Saccharomyces cerevisiae S288C: one gene and its partners. The protein of the gene in region 3 binds, or shares a complex with, the protein of the main gene of each other region. Each region holds a gene or a part of one and is shown on either strand. Other genes may lie near its edges. The genes, in order: FIP1, CFT2, SWD2 and PTA1.

Evidence for each region.
Region 1: SWD2 (region 3) and FIP1 share a complex: the UniProt entries of both Saccharomyces cerevisiae proteins name them as parts of the cleavage and polyadenylation factor (CPF) complex.
Region 2: SWD2 (region 3) and CFT2 share a complex: the UniProt entries of both Saccharomyces cerevisiae proteins name them as parts of the cleavage and polyadenylation factor (CPF) complex.
Region 4: SWD2 (region 3) and PTA1 share a complex: the UniProt entries of both Saccharomyces cerevisiae proteins name them as parts of the APT complex.

Annotation. Positions count from the first base shown.
Region 1 is NC_001142.9:599,877-607,643, forward strand, and holds FIP1 (cleavage polyadenylation factor subunit FIP1), read right to left. Parts: upstream 4,328-7,767; coding exon 3,344-4,327; downstream 1-3,343. Other genes in the region: BUD4 (Bud4p), read left to right, coding at 1-3,202; transcription factor IME1, read right to left, coding at 4,693-5,775. UniProt on the Saccharomyces cerevisiae protein: Polymerase-regulating component of the cleavage and polyadenylation factor (CPF) complex, which plays a key role in polyadenylation-dependent pre-mRNA 3'-end formation and cooperates with cleavage factors including the CFIA complex and NAB4/CFIB.
Region 2 is NC_001144.5:374,172-383,444, reverse strand, and holds CFT2 (cleavage polyadenylation factor subunit CFT2), read right to left. Parts: upstream 5,461-9,273; coding exon 2,881-5,460; downstream 1-2,880. Other genes in the region: CLF1 (Clf1p), read left to right, coding at 1-974; mRNA splicing protein MSL5, read right to left, coding at 1,193-2,623; AVL9 (Avl9p), read left to right, coding at 6,207-8,501. UniProt on the Saccharomyces cerevisiae protein: RNA-binding component of the cleavage and polyadenylation factor (CPF) complex, which plays a key role in polyadenylation-dependent pre-mRNA 3'-end formation and cooperates with cleavage factors including the CFIA complex and NAB4/CFIB.
Region 3 is NC_001143.9:398,713-406,386, forward strand, and holds SWD2 (WD-repeat containing protein SWD2), read left to right. Parts: upstream 1-5,389; coding exon 5,390-6,379; downstream 6,380-7,674. Other genes in the region: MAK11 (Mak11p), read right to left, coding at 1-38; SPT23 (Spt23p), read right to left, coding at 120-3,368; RAM2 (bifunctional protein farnesyltransferase/protein geranylgeranyltransferase), read left to right, coding at 3,856-4,806; MCO12 (Mco12p), read right to left, coding at 4,868-5,167; ATP-dependent 5'-3' DNA helicase HCS1, read right to left, coding at 6,478-7,674. UniProt on the Saccharomyces cerevisiae protein: The COMPASS (Set1C) complex specifically mono-, di- and trimethylates histone H3 to form H3K4me1/2/3, which subsequently plays a role in telomere length maintenance and transcription elongation regulation. Involved in mediating RNA polymerase II termination.
Region 4 is NC_001133.9:58,195-66,959, forward strand, and holds PTA1 (RNA-processing protein PTA1), read right to left. Parts: upstream 2,859-8,765; coding exon 501-2,858; downstream 1-500. Other genes in the region: GCV3 (glycine decarboxylase subunit H), read right to left, coding at 1-268; retrograde cargo receptor ERV46, read left to right, coding at 3,122-4,369; Rho family guanine nucleotide exchange factor CDC24, read left to right, coding at 4,646-7,210; cyclin CLN3, read right to left, coding at 7,584-8,765. UniProt on the Saccharomyces cerevisiae protein: Essential in pre-tRNA processing. Component of the cleavage and polyadenylation factor (CPF) complex, which plays a key role in polyadenylation-dependent pre-mRNA 3'-end formation and cooperates with cleavage factors including the CFIA complex and NAB4/CFIB.

The DNA of each region.
Region 1 (7,767 bases), on a different chromosome or scaffold from region 3:
ATTTTCACAGGAAGATTCTCTAGCGCACAGTGAACCCAAATTCAAAGATCTTAATGCTACATCGGATGACGTATGGAATGAAGACAAAGAAACAGACGCAAATATTTCAACATCTACAAAGTCAGAGGAAAGCTACATTGCTGACTATAAAGTAACGAGACAAGAAGACTGGGATACCAAAAAGCTTCATCAAGAAAGTGAACATGCAAATGAACAACCGGCAATAATTCCTCAAAAGGATTCTTCAGAAGAAACATTCACTGAACTAAATAATGAAAGTGAATTCCAAAGGAACTTTAAGGATGGAGAGGAATACCGAATCGTTCAACACGAGGAGAGCCTGTATGGACAAAGAACAAAGAGTCCAGAAGAAAATATAATAAATGGCAGTGAAATTGGTGTCGACCATGGAGAGGCCGCTGAAGTGAATGAACCATTGGCAAAAACTTCTGCAGAAGAACATGATCTTTCATCATCATGTGAAGATCAGTCGGTGAGCGAGGCTCGTAATAAAGACAGAATTGAAGAGAAGGAAGTTGAAACTAAGGATGAGAACATTGAAACCGAGAAAGATGAAAGTGAGTACCATAAAGTCGAAGAAAATGAAGAGCCGGAACACGTTCCCCTCTTACCACCCCTGCCAAGATGGGAAGAAATTCAATTCAACGAGCCATTTATAGATGAAAATGATACCTCCAATGATTCCATCGATTTAACCAGATCCATGAAACCATCAGATTACATTTCTATATGGCATATCCAAGAAGAGGAAATCAAATCCAATTCACCAGAATCCATTGCCAACTCCCAATTTTCACAACAATCCTCGATTACCACTGCATCTACGGTCGATTCTAAGAAGGATAATGGATCAACTTCGTTCAAATTCAAACCTAGAATAGTGAGCAGGAGTAGGATTTACAATCCAAAAAGCAGAGTATCCTCATTGAATTACTACGATAATGAAGATTACATTTTAAGCAACAGTGAATGGAATGCACTCGACCCTATGAGAAGAAATACACTCATCTCTAAAAGGATTCAAGATAACATAAGAACTCAAAAGGGTCACGCTCCACTTATTAGGCCAAGCATCATGAAACTTAATGGCGAAGATTCTGGTTTTCAGAATCATTTCTTGGAGGTAGAACAACCGCAAGAACACGAAAATATCCCATTAAGTACGCACCTAAGCGAACAAGATATCACAACAAATGTAGGCCTCGATGAACAGAAATTACCAACCAATACCCAGGACGAAGCTGAAATTTCCATTCGGGAAATAGAGAGTGCGGGTGATATCACTTTTAATAGGGGCGATTTACTATCTTTATCCTTTGATGAGGAATTGGGTCAGGATTTTGCTAATTTTCTAGACGCTTTGGATCATGACTCCACATCTTTCAATCATGGGCCGGATGATTCATCCAGTTTTCAAAGAGACAGTTCAAAGAAAAGCTTCAATTCTCTTTGGGAAAGCAGTTACGAACTAAAACCGCCACCTTCCATAAGAAAGCAACCTATTGCCCCCGACGTCCTGCAAAAATTATTAGAATCAGATACTAAAGATGACGCAGATTTGGAAAAAATTAGAGAAGAGCGTATAACTGAACCAAGGACTGGTTTGGGGATTGGAATGCTGAAAACACCAGTTAAGGATGTTTCAATTGCGCTAGCTGCAAGCATTAAAGGATATGAGGCAAGTTTCAGCGATACTGACTCTCGTCCAGAGGGCATGAATAATAGTGATGCCATCACTTTGAACATGTTCGACGATTTCGAAGAAGATAAAATGACCCCTTCCACTCCAGTTCGTAGTATAAGTCCAATAAAACGGCATGTTAGCAGTCCTTTCAAGGTCGTGAAAGCTGGAAACAAACAAGAGAATAATGAAATAAACATTAAGGCTGAAGAGGAAATAGAGCCAATGACGCAGCAAGAAACCGATGGTTTGAAACAAGATATTCCTCCACTGCTAGCGCAGACAAAAGATAACGTCGAAGCAAAAGAAGAAACGATAACTCAACTTGAAGAACCACAAGACGTTGAACAAGAATTTCCGGATATGGGAACACTTTATTTAAGTATAAAGGCTATTTCCACGCTTGCATTATATGGAACTAAGAGTCATAGAGCAACATATGCTATTGTTTTTGACAATGGGGAAAATGTCGTTCAGACACCCTGGGAGTCGCTTCCGTATGACGGTAACATCAGGATCAATAAGGAATTTGAATTGCCCATAGATTTTAAAGGAAAAGCCGAAACATCCTCCGCTTCTTCTGAAAGAGATAGCTACAAAAAATGTGTTATCACATTAAAATGTAAATATGAAAAACCTCGACATGAATTGGTCGAAATAGTAGACAAGGTGCCGGTGGGTAAGAGTTTTTTTGGAAAGACAAAGTATAAATTTGAAAAGAAGTATGTACAGAAAAAACCTAAACAAGATGAGTGGGATTATCTATTTGCACAAGACGGTTCATTTGCTCGTTGTGAAATTGAAATTAATGAAGAGTTTTTGAAAAACGTGGCATTTAATACCAGTCATATGCATTACAATATGATTAACAAGTGGAGTAGAATCGCAGACAAAATTCACGGCTCAAAAAGGCTGTACGAGTTACCACGCAAGGCGCCTCACAAAGTGGCTTCGTTGGATGTGGAAGCATGTTTCTTAGAAAGAACTTCTGCCTTTGAACAATTTCCCAAACAATTTTCATTGGTCAATAAGATTGTTTCCAAATACAAGTTGCAACAAAATATCTATAAAGAAGGGTATTTATTGCAGGATGGTGGTGATCTGAAAGGAAAGATAGAAAACAGGTTTTTCAAACTGCACGGCTCGCAACTTTCTGGTTATCATGAAATCTCTAGAAAGGCTAAGATCGATATTAATCTGTTGAAAGTCACGAAAGTCCTACGTAATGAAGACATCCAGGCGGATAATGGAGGGCAAAGGAATTTTACAGATTGGGTACTCTTTAATGAATGCTTCCAGCTAGTATTTGACGATGGTGAAAGAATTACTTTCAACGCGGAATGCTCTAATGAGGAAAAAAGTGATTGGTACAATAAGCTCCAGGAAGTTGTTGAGTTGAATGTTTTCCATCAACCCTGGGTGAAAAAGTATTGTGAAAAGTTAGCTGAGGAGGAAAAGACTCGAACAACCGGTCATAATTTGAAGCAAGATTTTAATTAGAAGGTGATTAATGGAATGAAAACAGCATATAATCTGATGACTGAGAGGTCTTTAGTTTAAAGATTAATTAAATACACATAATAAGAGTAAATACGTGAATCATGGACGATATATTTTTATTTCAATTTCACAGATCCCCATTCATTTCGAATTTTGATTTTGATTTTGATTAGGCTGTTGGTTCATGGGTGGCATCATACCTGGCATGGGGAATGGTGGAAAGCTACCAAACATAGGTAAGGGTGGGAAGCTTGGATGCATTGGTGGAGCGGGAGGGTTTGGTGTTCCAGACATACTATTACCCATATTACTGTTCAGATTAGACATATTTGCATTGTTTACGTTGTTGTTGTTATCAATTATATTACCGAGGTTTGAGTCTGTATCATTCGCGGAATTCAACTTCCCTTGCTGTTGGAGGGATAATAGGCCCATTAGGATCCTCCTAGGATTATAATCTTGTTGTAGTTTTTCCTGTCTATGTAAATACTCCATCCAGGTAAATTCGTTAAAACCGTAATTGAAATAATCACTTAAGTTGGCCCCCGGTTGCCTCCAGGGTTTCTCCTTTAATACTTCAGGATCTATTGTCGTTATGCCAACACTATCAAAGATTCCCTCTTTATCCAGGTCTATAGAACCAGTCATTGCTTTCGGTACATTTCCATCGCTCTCTGTAGCTTTTACGGTCGTTGCCGTTACACCTTGATTTGCTTCTCCTTCTGTTATTAGTCTTTCATCTGATGTCTTTGTGATGGTATTGGATACATCTGTAGCTACGCTAATTACGTCTTTGCTTGAAGATGTCGCTGCGGTAGAATAAGAATCGAGTAGTTTTGCATCTAACCTAGTAGGGTCAGGACCCAGACTTATGATAACCTCTAGGTCAGAATCACTATCGTCATCTGAGGAGTCAGAGTAGATATCTTCATCAGAACGATCATCTCTGGCAGTAGCTGGAGTTTCTTCCACGGGAGAGTCGAATTTTTGCCTTTTAACTATATCAGGATTACTGGACGCACCTGCGTCTGCTTCATCATCTCTTGATCGTTTAGATGAAGGTAGTGCTAATTCGGAGTCGGAACCATACAAGAACTTGTCGTCTTCGTCTTCACTGGAGCTCATTTAGAGAAATGCTAATAATTTTAGTGTAGGCAAAAGGAATAAGAATGCAAAGCACGATGGTGCGGTTTAACAAAGTGAATTTGGTGATGTACTCTCTCAAGATTTATGTCGCATTATTCGCTACGAAGGTTTTTCAAGATTAAAACGAATCTCCTTTCCCATCGCGACATACGATAAGGCTAATAACGCTACGGTATTATGTCATGGAGCTTGAGACATTGAATACATATATATACCTATATATAATATATATATATGCAAATACACAAATTCTTAGCAATTTGAGTGAGACAATGGAAATAAAGAAATGAGTGTGAATGGATATATTTTGAGGGAAGGGGGAAGATTGTAGTACTTTTCGAGAATTAAGAATAGGTTTTACTAAACTTGTAGGATATTTCTTGAAACCTGACCTTGTCATAATAATCTTGATCATTAGAACTGCTGAAGGAGTAAGCCGCAGCATATCTTGACAGTTTGGAGTTCAACTTTTTTAGGAATTCTAACTCTTTTGAATTTAATTTTTGTAGTGATGGCGGTGGTGATTTTTCAACGTCGAAGGCAATTTCTAATGGGTAATAGTAGGAGGGCACCTGAGGTTCATCTATAAATGGATCTGCCTCATATACATTATCGGAGGCGTTGTTATTATTGCTGGTATTATTATAGTAATTACAATTAGTGCTTTTATGGTTGCTATAGTGACGATTATTAAAGGAATGTATGTTATCAGTATGTGGTGGAAACTGATCTTGATATTGGGAGTATGAATCCGTGTTTTTTGAATTTATTGATTCATGAATATTTGTGGGTTTTGAATAGGTATAATTAGTGGTATATGGGTAGAAGTCTTGTGTGTATGGGAATTCATTGAATTCAAAATTTTCTTGGAATATTTTGATATCTTTTTGTGCATTTGTATTAGTTTCATATTTTATTGTGTCACTAATATCGATATCATCTCCATTTCTGTTGCTCTTTTGAAAGTTATCATGGTTATTGAATGATGAGTGGAACGTAGATGCGGATTCATCATTAGAAAAAAGAGATGATAATGAAGAGGATCTGGTACTTTCAGAGCTCTTTTTTCCTCTTTCAGGACCAGTTGCCATTGTGCAGTCCTTCGTAGTTTTCGTTTCCTTGGAAATAGGCTGAGAATCAATATTTTCCAAATTCAGAAACTCTTCATTGAACAATATTTGAGGATTAATTAAATGAATTGGTTGTGTATGAACCAAGTTCTGCAGCTGAGATGAGGCAATTTTGTCAGACTTTTCAAAATGCCAACTTCTAGGGGAAATTGTAGATCCAAAAGAAAAACAAGGACGGTCTTCTTGATCGGTGGTTGTGTCATAATAAATGTTAGGTTGTTGTTGCTGTTCAAAAGGAAAGAGGAAGAAACCATCTTCTAAGGCAGCGTGAAGTTTTCCATGCATATCCGCTTGCATTTTGTTTGTGGGGAGAGGAATAGAAAAGCTTTTCTTTTATTATTTTTTTCCTTTTTCACCAGTAATGGGTGCCAGTAGGAATTTGTTTCTCTGTAGGTGACTAATGACAGTAGTATATTATGCTTTTAATCTTTAACAATACTACTGGTCGATTTATAATATGATAATGTAAAATAAATCGTAATAGGATAGTCGATGTTTGTATCTACTTCACGAAACAGTTATGGTATACGGTAGTTTAAATATCTGAAGAAGCAAAAATACCGAACTACAAGGGAAGCATTTTGAGAAAAATATTAAGATCAAAAGATAATTAATTTACCTTAAATACATAAAAGAGGAAAAGTAATATACAAGGTAAACAACAGGCAAGGAACAAGATCAAAAACGTCCGACCCCAATTTAGTAGTAAATTACAGTAAGAGAAAAAGGTATTGGGGCTGATACATATTAATTGTGCGTTGTTGTTGTTGTTTAATTTTAGATTGGCTATTATGAGTACACACAAAACGTTGTAAACGCAATCACCCATGGATAAGCGCTCCCTTTAAAATGCACTACGAAATCATTGATCTACTAACTTTAAACCGGACTTAAACCATCAAAGGGTGCTCTAGATCTCATCGATGTATTCTGATGCAGCCAAAATTGCGCAATCAATCACGTTTCCCGATATAGAAAACTAATTGGCTGTGTTACGTGGCTGGGGGTTCTGTAATTCCTTTCTTCCCCGGTGAATCATCAAGATTGGGCTAAGCGCCTTTGATCCTTTCCCTCGAAGACGGAAATGGGGCCGCAGGATAAAAAATGGTGTGTCTGTAATTCCGATTTTTTGCTTATGTAATCATGTAACTTTCTTCTAGTCCCTTTGCAGACATGCATGACACTTCCTTACCCGAATAGTGAGTTAGATCTGTGTTAGGATGCAGGATGGGCAGTTCAAAGGCTTTTCTTATCGTATCTTTACCTTTTCCTGTAACTAAGAAGGTTTTTGAGTGCATGTAAAGGCACATAAATGAAACTTTAATTCCCTGCGTATTTAAGACCCAAGAAGCCACCATGACGCTTCCTTGATGTTGTATCTACCCCCAATCCTGGCGCCCCCTCCTGCGGGCACGCATGCGCCTTTGATCCTTCCCCTCGAAGACGAAAAGTAAACAAAGATACGCACTTTTTTTCTCCAACGCAGTATTGAAGGTACCATCACATGCTTACTCACTTTGCGGCTGCTATAACACCGTGGCAGTGTAACGTTTTACCGTTTGTCCTTTGCTACCGCATTTTAAAGTGGTACAAGATGTTGAGAGAAAAGATTTCCTGCAGCCATGATTAGGAGAGGTAATAGCGGATGACATCAACGAATAAGCTTTATCCAGCGGCTTGTATAGTTCTGTGTACACAATTACTGCCGGGCTCTCTGAGCATTTGCGTTTCTCGGGCTAGCTTCATTACTTAGTAACTTCAAATTAATGAAATATTTAATTATCATGATTCCAAACAAAACTACTTTAATTTCAATCACATTTTTGTTATCTGCCTGAAACGATAGCTGTACGGGTACGTTCTTGATAAATAAAACTCAGTGTTTAAAACTCTCTTTTTACATCTGTTCGCCGATGATTGCTTGCTCGGAGGTACTAGTCATCGGAATTGAGGAAATTCCTTTTCTCCTTTGTTTTCTCTTTATCCCCGCGTAAATACGCGGAATGCCAATAATCAAGTACACATTCTTTCTCCAAGTTGGCCAAAAAATAGTTCAAATTCTTTAAACTAAGCGCTATTAATTATTATTAATTATATAAGTTTGAAAATATCAATGCAGGACCCTATTTCTTCACGAGGGTGTATCCAGAAACGGTTTCTTATATAGTGTTGGCGCTCACTTTTTTCCTACCCACGTCTATATATGCAACGCCTACTTGTTTTAATCAACATCACAATTTTATGCTTTTGAGGTACAGCAGTTAGCCGTACGTTTTCGGCAGTCGCTAA
Region 2 (9,273 bases), on a different chromosome or scaffold from region 3:
TTTATCTGTGGATGAGATATATATGCTATGTTGAGTTAGAATTGGAAAATTCGCTTTTAGAAGAAGAACTTTTTCAGAGGTTAATTGACGACATCATCCCTCATAAACATTTCACTTTTTCCAAAATATGGCTAATGTATGCTAAATTTCTGATACGACATGATGATGTACCGAAGGCGAGAAAAATTTTGGGTAAAGCAATCGGTTTATGTCCTAAGGCTAAAACTTTCAAAGGATATATCGAGTTGGAAGTGAAGTTGAAGGAATTTGATCGTGTGAGAAAAATATATGAGAAATTTATTGAATTTCAGCCCTCTGATCTACAAATTTGGTCACAATATGGAGAACTAGAAGAAAATTTAGGAGATTGGGATAGAGTAAGAGGTATATATACAATTGCACTAGATGAAAATTCTGATTTCTTAACAAAGGAGGCTAAAATTGTATTACTTCAAAAATACATAACATTTGAGACAGAATCACAAGAATTTGAAAAGGCAAGGAAGCTTTATAGAAGATATTTGGAGCTCAACCAATATTCCCCCCAAAGCTGGATCGAATTCGCCATGTATCAAACTTCAACCCCGACGGAGCAACAACTATTAGATTTAGCAAAACTGCAAAGCGAAAATGTGGATGAAGACATAGAGTTTGAAATTACCGATGAGAATAAATTGGAGGCAAGAAAAGTTTTTGAAGAGGCGATAGTTTTTTTCAAGGAGAAGGATGATAAACAAGGGAGACTGTCTATTTTGGAAGCGCTAAAAGACTATGAAGAAACTTACGGTACTGAACTCGATCAAGAAACCGTCAAGAAAAGATTCCCTAAAGTAATCAAAAAAGTGAGGTTACAGAACGGTGTGGAAGAAGAATTCGTGGATTACATTTTTCCTGATGATATCGATGATGACAAGCCAAAACCATCAAAGTTCTTGGAACTAGCCAAAAAATGGAAACAGGAACAGGCACTTTGAATAAAGGTAAGGGTATCGTGAAATAATATTTTTGTCATTGTAGTTCAGGCCGTAGAAACTAAACAGTAGTAGAATAAGCTAGTAAGTAAATTAAATATCAAAAGTTAATAATAACCAGGAAGGCAAAAAACCAACAAAAAAAGGAACTATGCAAAATAGAGACTACATACCTTCAACACAAATAAAAAAAAATGCAGATATTGTATAATGGGAGTGTATTATAATCCGGGAGGCCCTTGCAGTCCCGGAGGTGTAGGTTTGTTAATGTCATTGCCCATGTTATTAGAAAACCCTGGAGGACCGCTTAGGCCAGGAGGAGGTGCAATTGAGGATTGTACCGTAGTCATACCGGGAGGTGGAGGTAGCGAAAATTTCGGTTGTTCCGACTCTGGAGGGCTTTGTAATGGGGGAGGGGCGATTCCTGGAACTCCGGAACTAAAGCTACTTGATGTTAGGCCGGGAGGGGGTGTAGGCGTCACGTTTTGAGCTTGCCTCGAAATATGTGACGCAGGAGGTGAAGGTGATGGTGCATAACGTGAAGAAGCCGGAAATTTTAAAGGAGGTTCCGTCGAGTTATTGTCATAACGAGATCTTTTTGGTGCTTGAATTGGATGAGTATTGCTATTATAGTGTACGTCATTGCTCTGTATTGGCGCAGAATTATTTACCGTGGCGTTTCTGTCAAAACGGCTCATTCTTTGAGACGATGAGTTACAGTCTCTACTGAAATGTCCAGTTTGTCCACATATTTTGCAAACAATGCCCTGTATATTTGGGATTTTTCTGTTTGGACAATCGTACCTTTTATGATCTTTTAAACCACAGATTGGACAGGGCCTGTTATCTTCTCTTAAAGTACCATTAAGTTCCGCCAATTCTCTCAGTTGTCCTCGTTTCAAGTCATTCTGGCCTTCCGGAGATGTCACCGCTTTGATAACAATGTTTTGACAAACTTTTATACCTTTTTGGATCTTGTCTTCCGAGTCTGCGATAATTAAACAGTGCAAGGGGTCCTCAAAGTTCATGGCGCCTGGAGGTAAGTCACTTGCATTCTTACCTTCTTTGACTGAACCTCTTCCTCTAATTGCAATCTTACAATTCGAATCTTCTTGCAGCTTTCTTAACGTACGTCCACGAGGACCTAATAATAAACCAACAAAATTGACATCAGGATACTGATCCACCGGGATATAATACTTGTCCTGAAATTTGGTAGGTCTCTTGTAATCATCCGGAGGAACGAAGTAAGGGATGGTCTTTAGGGCTATCTCAACAAGTTTAATACGTTCATCCTCTAGTTTCTTTCTATACCTCTGCTCACGGGTATTCGTTCTTTTACCTTGGGCATCATAAACTGGTGGCGGAGAAGGTGACCTATTTTTCCTGGAGGGGGGCACAAAATCGTTCGTACGCAGTTTGATGGTAATTTCTTGAATCCTAAACATGACTTGATAGGAGTATATTTGTTCCCTAGTTAGGGCCCCACTAATTTTTGATGGAAGAGAATTGAATCGATGGACATCGCTTTCTACCGTGTTCTTTCTCCATAACGAAAGGTTGACGTTTGGAGGAACCTTTGCTTTTTTTTCTTCCATACTGCTTCCTTTTCTATTTTCAAAGTATCTAGAGTTAATCCTTCTAAAACTCATCAACAATTTCCTTTTATTGTGGGATAGAATAGCACTTGTAGCAAATTAGGGAAAAAATTCTGCTTTGAAAATTTCCGCTTGGTGAAATTCAGCAGAAAAAGAAAGAAATCAATAATGCTAATATCGTTAAAAGTGAGTTAGAATGTTATATACAGATAATAGCGGTGCGAGATACACAGCAATTTATGTCACATACTGTTTTGTGGGCAGTCCACGAACGTAAATTGAACCTTTTATTTGTGCTGTATACAAGAAGGCTAGATTTTTGCTAACATATCCGTAACCAATTTTTTGACAGTATCAAAAAGTTCGGAAGGCGTACCATCGATAATAGTTTCTGCATCATTGATTTTGCGGACTGCTACTTTTTCATTTATGACAAGTGTACCTTCCCCTTTAAATTCTGCAATGTAGTTTTTCTCTGTGAGAAGTTTCTTTAATTGTGCTAACCTAACGTCACCGATTGACAACGCACCTGTTTTATGGCTCCTAGATGAACCGTGTAATGGTTTCAAGACTAGTTTACTCCTTGACGCTGTTTTTTGATGATTGTTCACTTGCGGTAGGCTCTCCTTAACCAGCCTGCCAACGACAGTGGCAACTGTATAACTATCACTGATACGTTGCCATTTCAAAAGGTTATCGAGGTTGGAGTCAATGGAGATATCCAGGGTCTTTATTGTTGTACTGAATTCCACTATCTTATTTAATGGCATGTTGACCACTTCAATATTTTTCTTGATAAGTTTTGCCGTAATTTCTTCATTTTGAATCTGTTTGGGGGCGGAAAGAACTATTTTTCTAGATTTTAGCGATGGCCATATAATAGATGCAGACCTTTGATCAACTAAACTCTGTAAATTTAGGATTACTACGGAGCATTTCAATTGGACATTTACAGTTGAGATTGTTCTTTTGGAGAGCGTTTTGTCTATCTTTAAATAGTCAAGGTTATCAAAATTTTCTGCTTCTCCGGTTCCAGAAAATCCCGAGTAACGAGAAGCACGGTGTTTGCTCCTTTTGCTAATTGGATCACTCATATTATAACCATCTTCTTCTTCATTTTTGTTATCTTCTTCGTTTACAGGGCTCGTGGTTTTAGCACCGTCTTTGAGAGGTCTTTTCCTGCTATTTTGATTAACATTGTCAGAATCATCAGGTAAAAACATCGTAAAATCTACAACAGTACCATAATCATCTTTCTTGATTTTAGCGGGGTTAAATGGGAACATTTTATGTTTTGAAGCGGCACTTGGTTGAATTATAATGTCTACAGGAACTTCCGTATTTTTTTTCGCTGCTGATTTCTCAGAGTTATCCTTGAGTAAATTCAACAAATTGTCGTTTTCTTCCTCTTCATCATCATCTTCGTCACCCCCCATAATATGATCAATCGGTGGTACTCCATTGACGTTTTCCACTAAAATGTCTTGATTTCTCATTGCCCTCTCTCCGTTGGTATCATCTATGATTGCGTTGCCGTTAGCCAGTTTCTTAGACTCTCTTTTCACCAGTAGAATTTTCTTATTTCTGTCCCTTTTCTTTTCTTTAAGCTGTACTTTAAACGCCTCTGTTTCCTCTTTACTCAAGGGTTCTTCTTTTATGGTGTCTATTGAAATGTAATTATCGCAGAGGAATGATTTACCATCTTCAGGAAATGTTTTCCAATTTCTTTCATCTTGTTCAACAATTTCTAGTATCTTGTCTAAAGACGACGCACATTCAAAGCTCGGCTTGGTCAAAATCAAGGTTGTCTTCTCAGAATTACCAACTTTAATTATCACTTCATTAATCAAAGCTCCTACCTCAGATACGAAGCAAATCTTTGAACCAGGATATTTACTCAATTCGTTTGGTGCGATGATTTTGATCCGTGATCCAATTTCAAATGGAGAAGTATTATTTCTGTTTTCCCATGTCTTAAGTAGTGAAGGGGACAGCCACTCGAGCATTGATTTGGCATATGTTAGAGTTCTTCCTCTCGCGTAAGACAGAATAAGTACAGGTACTTGTGTGTGCGCATTGATCTTTGTGCTTTCAAATAATAACTCATGAACTTGTGTGAACAGGTCCAGAAATTTGCCACTCATATCTACCGGTATTATAACGGACCCATCCGAACTCAAACCTTTCTTTAATGTATCTTTAAAGATTTTTGAACGTTTTTTAAACGGTTGAGAGGAGCCAAACCTGTCCAAAGTAGTAATTATTGCAGAGGGCCTCATCAAAGTTGATAAGGGCTTACCAGTGGCGTCCAATATAGAAGCAGCATTTAGTATGTTATCTCTAGTGTGGTTCCATCGCTTTGCATAAACCAATTTCTCTGAGTATGTGCTAATGCACCAAATAGAACCACCTGGACACACACCAGCATTGTACGCCAGTAAAGTCAATCCATCGTATCTTGATCGTAGATCTACCAATTGCGAGTACTTCAAAGGTACAATATGATCAAAAGATATCTCAATATCTTCAAGATCGAGTTTATTTGTGTCATATGGACCTATAACACCTGCAGATGCATATGAATCTATGGTGGAAACTCTCCCTAAGTTGATAACAGGAAGAGTTGCGTAAACTTGAATTCTGGATATGAAATGCGAGGTAAAATTATAGTACAGAAGGGAATGAGCACCTAAACATTCAATTGTTGGTTGTGATAGTATTATTACATCAATTTCCGGTATCACTTTTTCCCAGTACTTGATGCATTGCTCATACGATACTTTAGATGGATTCCAACCGGGATCGATTAACAAGGTGACGTTATCAAATCGTACCACTGAACCAACGGTGGTTCCTGATCCATCATCACAGCAATTGTATTTATAAGTCATATATATTCGTCGCCCTCAATGTATGTTCTTCATTTCATCTTCTGTGTTATTTCTTTAGCGAACAAATATTCGTGAATTCGATGTTAAAACTGCAGATTGTTTAAGAAAAGCGGGAAAACGCCGCCGAAAGAAAAAATCTTTTTCTAGTAATATTTCTTATTACAACAAACATTGAACATTGAATGACTTCAATCCGTAAGGGTTCATTGCTTGTATAGTTGGACTATATGTCATAGGTGAATCATTATTTCTTGAACTCAGGTTCGCTTTACTCAGTCTAGTGCACGTGAGATTACACTGCAAAAACTCCATGAACCAAAGAACTTACCTTAGACTTGCATTTGGGAGCAAAGTTTACACTAATTAATGCTTTTTATTTTTATTGTCCCAACCTTCTAATGTGTGGATTATTAATGGGGTAAGTTGAACTTCTATTACTTCCATTGAACGTTTGAGAAGTATCATTGCTTAGGAGGTTTGCCTAGCAAAAATAGCCGCTGAAATGATGCTTGTCCGTCGGGTAATGATTATACGAACGGGTAACGGAAGATATGGAAGCTAACCCAACAGAGAGCAGTCAATAATGGATCTTGCATAAGAATGTACGGCCCGATCAAGCATCCTTACAGCTCATTCACGAAGTTTCCTTTTCAAGAAAATTTTGAAGCCTTAAAGGAATCCAAGCAGGAAGACCATATCAAACTAACATATACATTCTGCCTCGCTGCAACCTTGTTGTCAAAATAATGGATGAACACGAGGAAGCAGTCATCTTCGGTATCTGCCTTGTGGACTTTCATCACAAAAGAGGCCCTGAAATAGAATACTGGTATGGCTTACCTGAGGGCACCCAAAGTGCAGAACTATGGCCAAATTTACCCTTCCAGGCCCTTCCTGATGGTTCTCACTCGTTTGAAGAAACATTTACTTATTTCACATTACTATATGATGAAAGAAGACAAAGGAGCCCTCCCAACGGGGCAACTGATCTGAGTGATGATAGCATCAATGACAACACGACTTTGTTTGCCATATCTTGCTCGAGACAGATAAAGAGTGATGAATTGGTCACTAAAGATAAGGATGTAACACGATCTACTGTACAGAAGGCAATTGTAGTCATCTCAAGGCAACCAATCTTCGGTCAAATCAAGGACAAACTTAGTATTGTGACTAATGCTTTTTTCTTGCAGCATGATTTTGGGGACAGGAAGATAATCCAGTCTTTATACGAAAACCTGAAGTCGATTTACACGCCTGCATCATTGGTCAGAAATGCCGAAAATCGTCTTTATATTGGGTTATGTCTGAGAAAGATACTACATGATTTTAAGAGAAACGCTTTAGTCTTATTGAAAGCAATTATGCTTGAAAAAAAAATTATAGTTTACGGCAACGACGTGGAAGCTTTGTGTAATTTACAGTTCGGTCTGATCAGCTTAATTCCGGACTTGATGTCAAATTTGCAGGATTCTGGCAGTCCTCAGTTGTTTCAGGATATTTCGAAATTAAATGTTGTGGACTCGTTTAAATCAAGCAATCGAGAATCAGTGTTGAGATTCTTAGGTTTTCCATTACCGATTTTCGAAAAAGGTGGACTATTTTCACCCTATACTCCACTGCAGCAAATGAATGACATACGGTCAGAACGTACTTTGTTTTTTATGATTGGAAGTTCCAACACATTGCTTGCTGAACAAAAGGAGGAACTGTGCCACATATTTGTCAATACAGACAATTCCACTGTAGATATTCTGGACAAGACTTTGAACCCCGTCCTCCAATTGTCAAGTCATGATAAAAAATGGATTGAATCTATATCTGGAATTGTATCAGACACATGGAACGAAAATGATGATGAAACTCCAAAAAACTCTCAATTTGAAGGCAGTGAGGATTTCATTAGGTGGCAATTCGAGGACTATTTAACGGGGTTACTTTCCAGTGTTAAATTAAGTGATTATTTGGACCTGCATAAAGAGAATGATCAAGCTTTGAAGACTATACCTGAGGATATGCTAAATTCCAATCCCGTTCATTTATTCAATTTGAATTGGGTTCAGAGTTGGAAAGAGACTCAAAATTTTCTGATATTCAACTCAAGAACAGATGATAGATTGTTCGACTTGTTTCCTCCGAAGCATATATATAACGGTGCCGACACTCTGTCTCTATTACAGCAACGATTTTTGGCCACATTTCATAATTTAAAAAGAAGCTCTAGCAACTCTTCAAGCAATAAAAATGGTCATCAAAGCGAGGAGGATATCAAAGACCAGGAAAGCATCGAGTCAAAAAAGTCTGTTTCCCAAATTTCTGTAAATCCTGGAAAGAATACAGACAAGCCAGCAGCCAACTTATGGAATTCATGGAAGGAATATTTCAATAAACCAAAGAATACTGCTAATGAAGATGTTACTGAATCCACAGAAGATCTCAAAAACAGAAGTAAAACATCGAACGCGATACAGAAAGCTATGATGGGCTTGGGTTTACATTATAAACCTGATGCGGAGACAGATCAACAAAGTGAAGAGGTGGGAAATAGTGAGGACAATGAAGATGATGATACTGATGAGGACTCTGAGGATGATGATGATGATGGTGGTGATGACGATGATAGTGAGGACGATGACGATGACGATGACGGTGAGGGCGATGAAAATGGCGATGACGGTGAGGGCGATGAAAATGGCGATGACGGTGAGGGCGATGAAAATGGCGATAAGGAAGACAGTCAAGATTTTAGCAATGGTTTTACAGACGTTACGAACATTAACACTGATCATGATAAAGAAAATGAACAGAATTTTGAGGGTAATGCAGAAAATTTTAATGAGGACGAAACCGTTGCAGATAAAGATATTGAAGGTGGTCCTGAGAGCAATAAAAATTCCGACAGTAAAACTGATATTTATGAAAACGATAGAAATGTTGAAGACTCATCTAAAACGAGAAATACAGTTAAAAAATCCAATGAGGAGGGCGGTGCGAATGACGCTGCTATAGGTAATTGTGTGCAGGATGAGGAAAAATTATGATATCTATACTATTTGTTAGCAATCGCGCTAAGATATGTTTATATGACAAAAAGAAAATCAAGAAACAGAGCCCTCCAGTTGTGAAAGTTGCAGGGGAAAAAATATCCGTGAATCTCAATACCTTTAGTCGTATTGGGATAATAGCTGAATAATAATTTATAGAAAACTGGGGTGACCTCCACAAGCACAATAAGATTCAGAAATTATAGAATATAGCTTTTTGGGGCTTTCCAAAAATGGAATAGAAAATTTTTTGAAGTTATTCTATTTGCATAGACGCTCATCAAACTATGTTTAAAGATTAACTTCATAGTAATCTTTTGAATGCTTTTTAGCTTCCTAAAGATGAATAACGTAGAAAGTTGAAATATTTAGAAACAATCGCAGTATCCTTGCTAGACCCTCTTTAATATTAATAGTAATCTTGCAAACAATAAAGATAAGTAAAGTTAACGATAAAAGCATCATTTTCAACAAAACTGAAGGGTAGCGACATAATTGTCGGAGCAAAAAAATCTTCCCCGCCAGGACTTGAACCTGGAATCTTCTGGTTCGTAGCCAGACGCCGTGACCATTGGGCCACGAGGAACAAGATTTATTGTTTTTGTTTTATTACGGGCTCGAGTAATACCGGAGTGTCTTGACAATCCTAATATAAACAGTCTTAGGGAAGTTACCAGTTGTCAAAACGGTTTATCAGATTAACTCACGGATGTTACTTATCTTATATATTATATAAAATATGAATCATACTAAGTGGTGGAAGCGCGGA
Region 3 (7,674 bases):
AAAAAAATGAAGACAGTATAAGTAGTATTCAGTAACATAAAGAAGATAAAATTCAAAAATGCAAAATAATAAAAAATGAATCTATATAGTGTAAGGATTATGTAGCTAGAAAAATGTCTTTAATTGACTCGCATGTCGTTTAGAATGTTATTGTTTTGAAACTTCGATAACTGCATTTTAAAAGAGGTTTTCATCCTTTCGTTGCCTAGTAGTACCTTGGCTAAACCAATTCTTAAATATTCCTGAACAATTTTGGATAAATTATGAAACATATCATCATCTTTCCCCAAATTCGATAATGTGAAACATAATAAGAGTACTAAAGTTAAGGGGATCCAAAAGAATAGGAGCATCTTATCATTCTGAAAGTTTTGCTTCTTGGAAAAGATTGTGTTGAACCCGACCTGTAAAGCTTCTAATTCATCGTCTTCAGAAGAAGTTTGAGAATCATCCACGGTCATTTGGGCAGAATTATCTGGCCCAATCTCCACAGATTTGCTACCAAGTTCCCAGTTTTTGGGTTTTTTTGGGAACAAGTCTTCATACTTTGGGAGCTCGTCATTTAAACGAGTTAGCATTCTGTTCCATAAAGATCCGTCAGGCTCTATGCTAGTCTTAGTAGTTTTTGGTATTTCATTTGGCTTTGAAGAGAAGTCCTTGATTTTGTGGGTGTTAAAGAACTCCAAAGCAATCTCATCTGAAGATGATTCACAATCACTTATGTCATAACCTGAATCCGAATCTAGGATTGAGAATGACGTATTGTCATTACAGTTGGATTGTTCGGGGGCAAGGGCAGCGGAATCCGCCAATAAATATTTTCTTTCTTGGACATAGTCATGATCAGCATCGTCATCATCAAATAAACTTGAGTTGAAACTTGACTGGGATACATTTCTCTCAAACGGTTGAGTATCACTGGATCCTGTTGTATTCTTCGTTAATCTAGTCAGAATGTCGTCAAACAGACTGGTTTCATAATTAGAATATCTGGTCTTGTTGACAGTATAATTCATCAGGAAGAACTGTTTAGCGATAAAGCCGTTTCTGGTTTTCTTCATAATATTAACGTTGCATTCTAACAATAGTCTTATAATTCTCAAGTCACCATTAATACACGCCATATGTAGCGGAGTAAAACCAAATAAATCTTGGTCGTTCAAATGCGACCCATATTTGATTAGTAATGAGACAAGACTATACCAGTTATTGAATGCTGCCAGATGTAATAGAGTTCTACCCCTAACGTCACACATGGAAAGATTGACGGTAGAGAGATTATTATTTCTCTTAAATGACTTAATAACTTCAGTGATCAATTGTTCATCGTTTATATTTCGCATCATATTCGTGTACGAATTTAAAGAGCTATTCTGTGAGTGTAATCCTGCGTTATTATTAGATGGAGATGAATCACTGCCAACAATCCTTTTAGCAATATTTCTTGCATCTTCCAGTTTACCGTTCATTTTCAGCCCCACAATTTGCAGAGCCAATTCAATTAGTTGCCTATCAGTATCATCAACATAAGTAAAGATTGCTTTCTCACCGGTATACTTGTTTAAGTGCAGAATGTCATTGGTACTATTGCTGGTGGAAACACTACTATTGCTATTATTTCTCATAGACGTTTCACTTGGGTCGACTATGGTTACCAAAACCGGTCCAGGTTTAGATGAAGGCGGTAAATAAGTCACCATCGTAGATTCATTCCAGCATTGGCTGGACAATGCTATATTTTCGCCAAACTTGATGATTAAGCCCTGCTTAAACTTTGAGCCAAGTAGAGTCACTTCTATACCTCCGTTGATGGAACCTTGTGCGGGGATGACACGCTGAATAGAAGGCTTGTTATTTAGCGCCACGGGGACACTATTATGGTTCGATATATCTTTGGAAGAATCGATGAATTTCTGGGGAAGACGGGAAAACGTATTAGGCGTAGACATAAAAGGCTCGTTTACCGAACGCTGCCTCTTGCCAGTGTGTCTCGCAGAGGCCGCACTGAAATCACTAGTTAATGTAGTAAGAGCGGGATTAGATGAACTATTAAAACCTGTGGACGACCAAGAGTCTAGTGAACGATGTAAATTGTTGTCGTTGTTATTAGAAAAATGAATATCTGAAAAAGAATGGTTGCTGTCCTCACTGGAGGAATTTGGTGATGGAAAGTGTCTGTTGTTGTTCATCATTGCGGTATTAGTCTTAATGTTGTTTTTGTTATCATTATCATTGTTGTTGTTATTACAATTGCTATCAAGCATACAGTTCGTAGAAATGACAAAATTTTTACTGTTAGAAGGCAGGGGGAATTCGGATGGGAAGTTTAAGTCACTTTGCGGCGATGAAAAGGATCTAGTGTCATTTGTCATTGGCGAAACCTGGGCATTGCTGGTGCTGGTTGGAGTTGTGGTATTGCTGGCATTTTTCTTGTCCATGATCATTATGGGATCTGTTATAGTTTTCGCCAAGATATCGCCGTTATGGTCCCTTAGAAGGAACAAAACTACAAACCCGTTAGTTGCCTTGTGGTGTCTGCAGTAACAGACGATTCTCGTCGGTAAGTCGAAATTGATACAGTTAGAGTTACCACTCAAACCGTTATTACTAATGATGAAAAGTTGTTTACTATTGAATATGATTGCTCTTTTGTTTTCGTTATTTTGCCAGATGGAGTTGTCGTTCAACCCAGACTTTCTTCTCGACGCTCTTCTTTTTTCCCTGTTGATACATCTATTACAAACATAGGTCTGCTTGAAGTTGTTGCTATTGTTGTTAGATGCACACAAAAGAAAGGCGTCCAAGAAAAGAGTCCTTTCGTTGATGTCCCTATTGGGTATTGTCAAGTTGGTGGGATCGTCCGAGCTGGTGAAAAACTTGTCCTTCGCTATACAATCAGAGGGCAGATGAATAAAGAAGTTTTTTCTTGCATGTGCGTTTCTAATCCGAAAACTCAGCTTCATCTGAGTTTCCACCCTAGAAACCTTCGGCAACCCAATAATTTCTAGAGACAATGGAAGGGACTGCGGGTTAATGTTGATAAAATCCAGTGGATTCGCGTATGGCGTCCTCAGAGGTAGCTTTCTGCCAAATTGAACGTGTCGATCAAGCAATCCTTGCAAAGATGCGATGTCATCCCTGAGCTCCCCTTCATCTTCCTTACCTGGTGTAGTAGTACCTGCTGTTATCATTTTCTCTTGGTTCAGACTCAATAAACCAGGGTCTTGCAGAGAGGACCCAGAGTTGAGCAGAGCAATATCCAGTAATTCTGATTCTAGTAAATCCAAGTCCGGAGAGCCATCGTTGTGCTGTATGTTGGCGCTATAGCTGTGGAGCATCGAGGAAACGTTTCCTGTGCCACTCATCATTTTCAGTGGTGTACTACTGTTGTGATTAGTCGTTTAGAGGATATCTAGAGTATAATTATTTTGAATGAGTTTCGTTGACATTTTCAGTTCATGCGATCATCTTACTTTCATGGTTGCTCCTTGCCGTTAAAATTGAAACGAAAAAAGCGGGAATACAACAATGTCACCTTACACGAGCAGAGAAAAGGGCAGCAATAGCGACAATAACCGATAATGCCAGGCCTTCCAGAGCCCTATGCTGACCTATATTCATCATGACGCTATCCATATGCAACTAGAGACCTGCTGGGAAGCGCTCTCTCATTTTTGAAGGTTGCAGCAGTGCTCGCGCCGGTTTTCGATTGGGCCTCGTGATAAAACACATCAGCAAAGTTTCGCTTTTGACATTCTGTTAAATTGGTCCTTAACTGTTGGTGCAGACCTACTGCAAGACTGTTAATTATGGTATATTATATATCAAGTGCTGATACAACGTACACCATCGAAAATGGAGGAGTACGATTATTCAGACGTTAAACCTTTGCCCATTGAGACAGACTTGCAGGATGAACTGTGCAGGATTATGTATACCGAGGATTATAAGCGGTTGATGGGACTCGCAAGGGCTCTGATCAGCCTTAACGAACTGTCACCCAGGGCACTACAGCTAACAGCCGAAATTATCGACGTGGCGCCAGCCTTCTACACCATATGGAACTACCGATTCAATATCGTCAGGCACATGATGAGTGAATCCGAAGACACTGTCTTGTACCTGAACAAGGAATTAGACTGGCTAGATGAAGTTACGCTGAATAATCCAAAGAACTATCAGATCTGGTCCTATAGACAGTCTCTTTTGAAGCTACATCCGTCTCCTTCCTTCAAAAGAGAGCTGCCTATCTTAAAACTGATGATTGATGATGATTCCAAGAATTATCACGTTTGGTCGTACAGAAAGTGGTGCTGTTTGTTCTTCAGTGACTTTCAACATGAGCTCGCCTACGCCAGCGACCTCATCGAGACAGACATTTATAACAACAGCGCATGGACTCATAGGATGTTTTACTGGGTGAACGCTAAAGATGTCATTTCAAAAGTGGAATTGGCCGACGAGCTCCAGTTCATTATGGACAAGATTCAATTGGTTCCGCAGAACATCAGTCCGTGGACCTACCTCCGTGGTTTCCAAGAGCTATTCCATGATAGGCTACAGTGGGATAGCAAAGTAGTCGACTTCGCCACAACCTTCATCGGTGACGTATTGTCACTTCCAATTGGCTCACCAGAGGATTTGCCCGAGATCGAGTCCTCATATGCCCTGGAATTCCTGGCATATCACTGGGGGGCAGACCCTTGTACCCGAGACAACGCTGTTAAGGCCTATAGCTTGCTAGCAATCAAATACGATCCTATTAGAAAAAACTTGTGGCACCACAAAATAAATAATCTGAACTGAATATATGTAAGCACTCTATTTGTACGAATATATTTACGTGTGTACGTGCATGCACGCAAGTTTAATCTAGTTCTACAAACCTACTGCTGTATTGAGATTGATCTCTTCCCCTTCGTTTTGGACCGCTATCATTGATGCGTCCAAACCCGTCCTCGTTCAACTGCTTTCTGAAAAATTTAGAACGTTTAACCATCTTCAGCGTCCTTGTGTAGCACATCTCTCCCCATGACAGATATCTATGTATCCAGCCGCCCAACTGATACTGGTTGTAAAAGAATATCATTCCCGTCTCCCTTCTTATTGCCGATAGGAGCATAGCTACCAACGTCCCCTCTACTACCCACCTTATCATTCCCAACATCTTGCAATATGTTACGATCTGATCTTCACTCTCTTTTGCTCCTTCTTTTTGCTGTTTAACTGTTACCTACACTCATTTATTCGATACCTTTTTTTACCCATTTTTTCTTCATGCAGTTTAGCACTAGTACATTAAAAAAGAAAGAAAAAAAATGAAAGCAAGACTAAAATATCGAGCAAAGCACAAGCAAATACACCGTTTGTCCTTTTAGCATAGCCAACAATGACCACCGTGTCCATCAATAAGCCCAACCTGCTGAAATTCAAGCATGTTAAAAGCTTTCAACCTCAAGAAAAAGACTGCGGACCCGTAACCTCATTGAATTTCGACGATAATGGCCAGTTTCTACTGACCTCTTCTTCCAACGATACAATGCAATTGTACAGTGCCACGAACTGCAAATTCTTGGACACTATAGCCTCTAAGAAATATGGCTGTCACTCCGCTATCTTTACGCACGCACAAAACGAATGTATCTATTCCTCTACAATGAAAAATTTTGACATTAAATACCTTAATCTGGAAACAAACCAATATCTAAGATATTTTTCCGGTCATGGCGCCCTAGTGAATGATTTGAAGATGAACCCCGTGAACGATACGTTTCTATCGTCGTCATACGATGAATCCGTTAGGCTTTGGGATTTGAAGATCTCTAAACCGCAAGTTATTATACCAAGTCTCGTACCAAATTGTATCGCATATGATCCAAGTGGCCTTGTATTCGCATTGGGGAACCCAGAGAATTTCGAAATAGGGCTATATAATCTGAAAAAAATTCAGGAGGGTCCTTTCTTGATAATTAAAATTAATGATGCGACTTTCAGTCAATGGAATAAATTAGAATTTTCTAACAATGGAAAGTATTTATTAGTTGGCTCCTCGATAGGAAAGCATTTAATTTTTGACGCATTCACAGGTCAACAATTATTCGAACTAATAGGAACAAGGGCCTTCCCGATGAGAGAATTTCTAGATTCTGGATCTGCTTGTTTCACACCAGATGGTGAATTCGTCCTTGGAACCGATTATGACGGTAGGATTGCCATTTGGAATCATTCTGATTCAATAAGTAACAAAGTATTAAGGCCGCAAGGGTTCATTCCCTGTGTTTCTCATGAGACCTGCCCCAGGTCAATTGCATTCAACCCTAAATATTCGATGTTTGTTACCGCAGACGAAACAGTAGATTTTTACGTGTACGATGAATGACTGCTGCTACTGCATTGATATACTAGAGGATATAATATATAACGAACATTTTTTACCTACTGTATAACGACGTATACTCTATACATCTTGTGTATTCTTTACAAATAATCGTCAATGTTGGGGTACCTTACGTCAGCGTTCTCTTCACACCATTCTGACCAACTTTTTAGGTACTTGTTACCGCACCTTTGCAGAACTTCTATATTGCCAACAACAACTAGTTGCCTTCTGGGTCTTGTCATGGCGACGTTCAGTCTTCGTTCTTCCTTAAGGAAACCAACTTCAAATTTTTCATTGCTACGAACTAAACTCAATATGATAACATCTTTTTCACGGCCCTGGAACCCATCTACAGTTGATATTTCAATATCAGTTAATTTTAATTCATCATGGATCAATTTTTTCAGATGAGAAACTTGTGCATTGTATGGAGAAATAACACCTATAGAGTTCTCCGGGACGTTGAATGACCTTAAATTCTCAATGTGTTCTTTTACAATGGCAATTTCGCCCTCATTATACTTAGATCCAAGGATAGTAGCTTCATCTGCAGTCTCTTGAAATTCATCACCTTGCGTATCATACCAAATTAAAGGAATTTTTGTATCGTCATCATCCTCAGATGGCGTAGCATCGACGGTCGGTAGGTCTATCAAAAGTCTGTTCGCGACCGTTGCATCGGCCAATAGTTTCCCATTATACATTGAGTGCGATGGAAATTCCATAATTTTTTGATTCATCCTGTATTGAACGTTAAGAAATTTTACCATATCCCTTTTCGGGAATATTTTGATTATTCTGTCAAATAGTGTGGTTTCCAAATTGTGAATGACATTTTTGTCGTCTTCTGTTTTGATTGTGGGTGGCAATTGTTTATTGTCACCAGCAAGGACTAGTTTGTGGAACTGATTTTGATGTGCAATTAGTGGGATCCAGCATTGTGGTTCCATGGCCTGTGAGACTTCATCGATGATCAAGGTATCGAAAAGCTGGAAATTTGGATCATCTCTATAAAGGGAGCATAGTTCTCTCGATGATGAACCGTGTAAAGTGGTGACGACTATTCTCGATTGTATTATTAAGTCCTTAATGGTTTTGAACTCTCTTTTCTTTAAATCTTTGCGCAGCAGTTTAATTTCGTTCCAGTTTTCTTTACGTTGCTTATAGTTTTTTAGTTTTTTATTCTCCTGAATTAATTTGTCAATCTCCTGGGAAATGTCCTTCACAATAGTATTCTTTTTACTAAGTATATCAAGAGAGTGTCTTTTATTAGAGTCTAATAGCCTAGCAGGATG
Region 4 (8,765 bases), on a different chromosome or scaffold from region 3:
CAATCTCAGTGCCCACTTCTGGCAACTCAACATAGGTAGCGTCCCCTAAGGCATCAGTGGCGTATTTTGTAATTCCGACAAAGGCAGTCTTGTCCTGATGCACAGCTATCCACTCATGTTGGGAAGTGTACCTCACGGCTTGAGGTCCTTGGGATGAGTACAAAAATGGTAGTTTATTCTTGTTTAGGGCATTGCCGGAGCTGTTTCTCAAAAACAATTTGCTCACAGTGGGCATGCGGGTGGTCCATAGTCTAGTAGTGCGTAACATTGTCGATGTGGTATGCTTCATGTGGAGATTCCCTTTCCCATTAGATACTTGTTTGTTGGTCTGTATATATAGAAGAAAGAGTTAGCGAAAGTGACTCCGCCGCTGAATGACTCCTTACGGAAGTGTCAAAATTGCGAGGTCCCTATAGCACAGAATGATAGATAAAACATTGATTTGCAAGTTGAAGGAAGACCCTACACATGCGTATATATGATGTATGTAATGGTTGTGATCATTTTAGCCTGTCAAGCAGTGAATCGCACTGCTTGTGTAAGCCTTCATCTTCTTGCTTTAGCTGATGCAGCAGGTCGCGAACAGTGTCCTGCACTGGGGGTCTAAACATAATGAGAAACTTTAGCGTTTGGAAACCAAGGGAACTTCTTGCCGGATCCAGGCAGATAGGCTTCAGTGCCTCAAGATGATCGCTTTGAAGACTGGGCAGTTCGCTCATAAGTCTGATGAAGAATCGTCTGTGTTTGTTTTCAAGGAATGGACCCAGAGACTCGAGAACTCTTAAGGACCATTTTTTGTAGTTAGAGGGATCTTGATGCAGCGAGGTTTGGAAGAACCATTCTTCATTGAGCCATTCAATGATCAGACTGACACGTTGCTCGAAATCCTGGATGAAGAAGCCAAGCAGTTCTTCACGAATCAGGTCACTGGCCTCTTGTGCTTCGATTCCTCTCGTAACCAATCTGATTAAGACGTGTAACCATGACGAGGAGTCGTCATCGTCCAGTAATATGGAGGAGGAAGACGAAGATTTGGCCCGGGTAGTATCCTGGCGACCGGATAATTCAAACAGTTTCTTGGTCAGCTTTGAGAGGTACTTTAGTTTTTCATCCTGCGTCAATGAGTCAGGTTCAAAGGGGGGTGCGATCTCCTTAATGGCAGAAGTTGATTTGTTGGCATCTCCTGAGATTTCTTGGGCGCTTTCCTCTTCTTGAAGCATCTTCTGCATTCGGTCATCGTCTTCGGGCTCCTCTGGTTCCTCCGCTAGTGGTTCTGTTTCCATTTTGATTTTCTTGCTATTAGCCGTTGGGCCATCGTTTCCAACTTCTTCATTGTCGTTGCCGTCGTCATCATCGTCGGATTTCCTCTTTGATGATGACGAGGACGGTACAGAATTGATGTACGTATTCATTAAATCCGTGTACCTCGAAGCAACGATAGACAATCCGGTGATCAGTTTCGTGCTGTCCATTTGCAAGATGGCCTCTGTGGACAGCTTGATAAGTATGTCATTGGGTAGCTGGGTCACATCCTGGTTGGAGTTCGAACTGTTCATCAATGAGTACACAGATGAGTAGGTGTTGCTGATTGGTTTGGGTGAGTTGTTGAAAAAAGTATTGCCCTGGTGTGAAGCCTTGTTGAGGGTGTATTTTTGCAATATCTTCAGTTGATCAAGCATGTTTTCGGTTGAAGAGCCCGTTGCAGGTGCGGACACAGGCGTGGGGGTCTTTGTGGACACCCCTAGAGTAGACAATAACGCGGATAATTGCCTTTTCCATAGTGAGATGTATTTTAGTTTGTCCTGCCTGGACAACGTTTTCTTGCTATTGCCCTTGGAAGGGTCGAAGTTCAAAATTCCCTTGCTCTTGGTCTCTTCGCCAATAACGTGTAAAGTTTGAGAAATCTTGGTCAGCTTGGAGTAGATCGATGACCCTGATCCGGATGAGAGGGATTTTGTAATGATTTGATTTTTTAGCCCAAATTGCACAAAGTTCTTGTACGCCCTTTCAACAAATCTCTTGGATAGTTTGTAGTTCAAGTCAGACTTGCCCTCTAGGGGAAACTTGGCGTCGACGTTGAAACGCAACAGCCCGGAAAGAATTCTTATTGTTGTCTGCGGCCTTCTTTTGATGACGAAGGATAAAGAATTGATGATACCAATGAAAACGGACGAGACCATGTACTGTTCCTCAATTAGGTAGTTTAGCAACATATCAAGAAGCCTCTTAGCCTCGCTCTCCAAAGCCGGTTTGTTCAACACAGGGTGGTTATCCGGGATGGTAGATGAATTAATCTCGTTGCCGCTGGGTGATTTAGTTTGCGACAGCACGACCTCAGATATGAACTTGATGGTCGCTAATTTCACGCCGATATTTTGGTCAATCTGCGCCAGCCATTGTTCGACATCCGTTTCATCGTCAACGGTGGCACGCAAAGGATATGCAGTTCTCCAGTGCGAGAGCACGAACTTCTTCAGCATACACAACTGATCAAACATTTCCTGGTTTGATGTCTTAGCAACCAGATCCAACACCAGCGGGTATGAAGCGCACATAATAAGCACGATATTCTTGTACACTAGTACGTCCGCGGTGGATTGCGCCATAGCAAGAAGTAGTGGCAGATATTGAGCAGCAATAAACGGTCTCTCAGTATTCGCAATTGGAGAGTCCATCGACACCACGTCTAGAACTAACTGTGTAAAAAACTTGGCCAAAGGCAACTTCAGCTTGCTGAGATTACCGTTGTGGTACATGGATGCCGTAGTTTCGAGCACCTTGGGCAGCATCTCCGTTGGATTGTTGTGCATGGCCAGTGTCTTGGCCTGTAACAATTGTTCCATCTCTGCAGATGACATTGCGCTGCTTAGTGGTAGTTATATGCTTCTTGCCACGATTTAACCATTTGTTCAGTCAAGTACTAACGGTTAAAAGGTATCGAAATATGGCAACTTTTCACTTTTAGATCAAGTCACTATATACGACTTGAACATCAGAACGGCGATTTTCCATCAAGATGGAGTGGAAACCACGCCATTATAAAGGAAAGCTAGTTTTATGTCTCGTATACATGCGGAGTAGGACAGTGATATAACACACATAGCTAGACACAATAGACATCATGAAAAGGTCCACGTTGCTGTCGCTGGACGCATTCGCTAAGACCGAAGAGGACGTACGAGTCCGCACCAGGGCCGGCGGGCTGATCACTTTATCGTGCATCTTGACCACGTTATTTCTGCTGGTGAACGAGTGGGGACAGTTCAATTCTGTGGTAACAAGGCCACAATTGGTGGTGGACCGTGACCGACACGCAAAGCTGGAGCTTAATATGGATGTGACATTTCCATCGATGCCATGTGACCTGGTGAATCTCGATATTATGGACGACTCTGGAGAGATGCAACTAGACATTCTTGACGCAGGGTTCACGATGTCTAGGTTGAATAGCGAGGGTCGCCCCGTGGGAGATGCTACTGAGTTGCATGTGGGTGGGAACGGCGACGGAACCGCGCCGGTTAATAACGATCCTAACTATTGTGGGCCATGTTACGGTGCCAAAGATCAGTCGCAGAATGAGAATCTAGCACAGGAAGAGAAGGTTTGCTGCCAAGACTGTGATGCAGTGAGATCAGCATACTTGGAGGCAGGCTGGGCTTTTTTCGACGGGAAGAATATCGAGCAGTGTGAAAGAGAGGGCTATGTCAGCAAGATTAACGAGCACTTGAATGAAGGCTGCAGGATCAAAGGTTCTGCACAAATTAACAGAATTCAGGGGAATCTTCACTTTGCCCCTGGAAAACCCTACCAGAATGCATATGGACATTTTCATGATACTTCTTTGTACGACAAGACTTCGAATTTGAACTTCAACCACATCATCAATCATTTGAGCTTTGGGAAGCCGATCCAGTCCCACAGTAAGTTGTTAGGAAACGATAAGCGCCACGGCGGCGCCGTAGTTGCCACTTCTCCCTTGGACGGACGCCAGGTGTTCCCGGACAGGAACACACACTTTCACCAGTTCTCGTATTTTGCCAAGATTGTCCCCACCAGATATGAGTACTTGGATAATGTTGTCATTGAGACCGCGCAGTTCAGCGCCACTTTTCATTCCCGACCTCTTGCCGGTGGAAGGGACAAGGATCATCCAAACACACTTCACGTTAGGGGTGGTATCCCTGGTATGTTCGTCTTTTTCGAAATGTCTCCATTGAAAGTCATCAATAAGGAACAGCACGGGCAGACTTGGTCGGGCTTCATCTTGAATTGTATCACCAGCATTGGTGGTGTCCTAGCTGTGGGCACTGTCATGGACAAGCTATTCTACAAAGCACAGAGATCGATCTGGGGCAAGAAGAGCCAGTAGAGGAAGAGACTGTCATAGGGAAGAGCCCTTTCTACATACTACTACATAATATATATATATAGTATAGAAATTGGTATATCACTACTTGTACAAATATCATATTGTACGATAATCGCGAAGAACGACGCACTGGTGGGAAGAAGTGGAAAACAGAAGCTTTAAGGTAGAAACAGAACAAGAATGTGGCTATGGTAGGATAGCAGAAGAGTACCATTGCTGTTATCATTTGTTGCCTAGCCCTATCAAGACCTGTCTGCTAATCCAACCCGAGAGATCATGGCGATCCAAACCCGTTTTGCCTCGGGCACATCTTTATCCGATTTGAAACCAAAACCAAGTGCAACTTCCATCTCCATACCCATGCAAAATGTCATGAACAAGCCTGTCACGGAACAGGACTCACTGTTCCATATATGCGCAAACATCCGGAAAAGACTGGAGGTGTTACCTCAACTCAAACCTTTTTTACAATTGGCCTACCAATCGAGCGAGGTTTTGAGTGAAAGGCAATCTCTTTTGCTATCCCAAAAGCAGCATCAGGAACTGCTCAAGTCCAATGGCGCTAACCGGGACAGTAGCGACTTGGCACCAACTTTAAGGTCTAGCTCTATCTCCACAGCTACCAGTCTCATGTCGATGGAAGGTATATCATACACGAATTCGAATCCCTCGGCCACCCCAAATATGGAGGACACTTTACTGACTTTTAGTATGGGTATTTTGCCCATTACCATGGATTGCGACCCTGTGACACAACTATCACAGCTGTTTCAACAAGGTGCGCCCCTCTGTATACTTTTCAACTCTGTGAAGCCGCAATTTAAATTACCGGTAATAGCATCTGACGATTTGAAAGTCTGTAAAAAATCCATTTATGACTTTATATTGGGCTGCAAGAAACACTTTGCATTTAACGATGAGGAGCTTTTCACTATATCCGACGTTTTTGCCAACTCTACTTCCCAGCTGGTCAAAGTGCTAGAAGTAGTAGAAACGCTAATGAATTCCAGCCCTACTATTTTCCCCTCTAAGAGTAAGACACAGCAAATCATGAACGCAGAAAACCAACACCGACATCAGCCTCAGCAGTCTTCGAAGAAGCATAACGAGTATGTTAAAATTATCAAGGAATTCGTTGCAACGGAAAGAAAATATGTTCACGATTTGGAAATTTTGGATAAATATAGACAGCAGTTATTAGACAGCAATCTAATAACGTCTGAAGAGTTGTACATGTTGTTCCCTAATTTGGGTGATGCTATAGATTTTCAAAGAAGATTTCTAATATCCTTGGAAATAAATGCTTTAGTAGAACCTTCCAAGCAAAGAATCGGGGCTCTTTTCATGCATTCCAAACATTTTTTTAAGTTGTATGAGCCTTGGTCTATTGGCCAAAATGCAGCCATCGAATTTCTCTCTTCAACTTTGCACAAGATGAGGGTTGATGAATCGCAGCGGTTCATAATTAACAATAAACTGGAATTGCAATCCTTCCTTTATAAACCCGTGCAAAGGCTTTGTAGATATCCCCTGTTGGTCAAAGAATTGCTTGCTGAATCGAGTGACGATAATAATACGAAAGAACTTGAAGCTGCTTTAGATATTTCTAAAAATATTGCGAGAAGTATCAACGAAAATCAAAGAAGAACAGAAAATCATCAAGTGGTGAAGAAACTTTATGGTAGAGTGGTCAACTGGAAGGGTTATAGAATTTCCAAGTTCGGTGAGTTATTATATTTCGATAAAGTGTTCATTTCAACAACAAATAGCTCCTCGGAACCTGAAAGAGAATTTGAGGTTTATCTTTTTGAAAAAATCATCATCCTTTTTTCAGAGGTAGTGACTAAGAAATCTGCATCATCACTAATCCTTAAGAAGAAATCCTCAACCTCAGCATCAATCTCCGCCTCGAACATAACGGACAACAATGGCAGCCCTCACCACAGTTACCATAAGAGGCATAGCAATAGTAGTAGCAGTAATAATATCCATTTATCTTCGTCTTCAGCAGCGGCGATAATACATTCCAGTACCAATAGTAGTGACAACAATTCCAACAATTCATCATCATCCTCATTATTCAAGCTGTCCGCTAACGAACCTAAGCTGGATCTAAGAGGTCGAATTATGATAATGAATCTGAATCAAATCATACCGCAAAACAACCGGTCATTAAATATAACATGGGAATCCATAAAAGAGCAAGGTAATTTCCTTTTGAAATTCAAAAATGAGGAAACAAGAGATAATTGGTCATCGTGTTTACAACAGTTGATTCATGATCTGAAAAATGAGCAGTTTAAGGCAAGACATCACTCTTCAACATCGACGACTTCATCGACAGCCAAATCATCTTCAATGATGTCACCCACCACAACTATGAATACACCGAATCATCACAACAGCCGCCAGACACACGATAGTATGGCTTCTTTCTCAAGTTCTCATATGAAAAGGGTTTCGGATGTCCTGCCTAAACGGAGGACCACTTCATCAAGTTTCGAAAGTGAAATTAAATCCATTTCAGAAAATTTCAAGAACTCTATTCCAGAATCTTCCATACTCTTCAGGATATCATATAATAACAACTCTAATAATACCTCTAGTAGCGAGATCTTCACACTTTTGGTAGAAAAAGTTTGGAATTTTGACGACTTGATAATGGCGATCAATTCTAAAATTTCGAATACACATAATAACAACATTTCACCAATCACCAAGATCAAATATCAGGACGAAGATGGGGATTTTGTTGTGTTAGGTAGCGATGAAGATTGGAATGTTGCTAAAGAAATGTTGGCGGAAAACAATGAGAAATTCTTGAACATTCGTCTGTATTGATAAATAAAACTAGTATACAGCAAATACTAAATAATTCAAGAAAAAAACATTAGATAGAGAGGGGCAGATGTTCAAGCTATACCCATTATATTGATCCACACTTAGTATTAAGATACGTCTGTGAAGGATGAAAAAAAATGTATAATGTGACTAGAGGAAGTAAGGAGAAAAAACGATAGTAATCGTATTTTAGGTTGTGCGTTTTTATAATTTTTTTTTTTTTGTAATTCTATGCAAATGTAATATAAGTATATTTAAAGAAATAATGAGTCCTGTGAAAACAAAAAGAAAAAAAGATCATTAATGTATGTTAACGTATTTGCTTTGCAAATTTTAATTTATTTGTTGTTAAATGCATTTTTTTTTTGTCGTTTCAGCGAGTTTTCTTGAGGTTGCTACTATCATTAAAATCACAATCCACAGAGGAAGTTGATCTCTTTTTCAGTTGGGTGGGGGCAGAGCATGGGTGAGCAGTGGCCATGGGTCTAACAGGAAATAATCTTTTTGAACGCACAGATAAATTTTGTAATAATTTTCTATTTGACATTAGAGATGGGGTGGTGGGAGTTAGTGGGCTTGGCCAAAAGATGCTTGAATTTTGTGGGATGCTCAGTGACCTTTTAAAAGAATTTTGGGTAGAAGAGAACGAACCTGAATGTGAATGGTGTGATGCAGAGTCTGGGGTCGTCATTGAACTTGAAGTCTTGTAAGGGGAATTGAATGGAGATGGAGAGGATGAAGATGAGGTTGGAGTGAAGGCAAATGGTGGAGAAATGCTATCTTTGGTCAACCTTCTTAAATGAGTGTGATCCGAGAAATAGTCTGTGGCCGCAGATGAAACCGTAGCGCTCTTTGGAGTAGTAGCATTTGAGTAAACACAAGTCAATGAATCGCTGTCAAAGGACTGAGCAAAGATAGTATTGTACATGGTTTCCAATTCTTGTGAACGGTAGAATTCTTCCAGTTTCAATTGAATACAATAGTTTTGTAATGCGTCTAAGAGAGATTTTGCTAAAGATGTCTTATTGCTATTCAAATATTTTGATTTGAAACTGGAGGGGAAAGAATTTTGGTCCATTGCTATATCCAATAAAGTATTAGAGATTTCTGACAATTTAATATCTAGGTCTTGGCAGTTTTCCTCCAAAGCCAGATTGATATTTTCCCAAAGGTTTGAATTATAGTAGTTCAAAGATAATTTGATGAGGTTAATTGCACCCAGCGCAATTAGTGAACGATCATATTTAAATGATAATTCGAGATTGAAGGAAGCTAACTCGCACAACATAATGGCACCCAATTTGATCTCGTTGATGTTCAAAGAGGGGCCTTGAGAAGAGGACGATTTATTAATAGCAGTACCAGCAGCGTTATTTAATAAGGCCAGTTTCTGTTGAATGAAAGCTTCCAAAGGGGCAGAAAGGACAACGCCAGGCGATAACGGGGACGTAGATTGGAACAAGAAGATGTCGATGTAGGAGTCGAATGTTGCCGACTGACAGATGGACCAATCGAGTGATTTGAAAAGATGCATTTCCATAGTCGTGAATTGCTT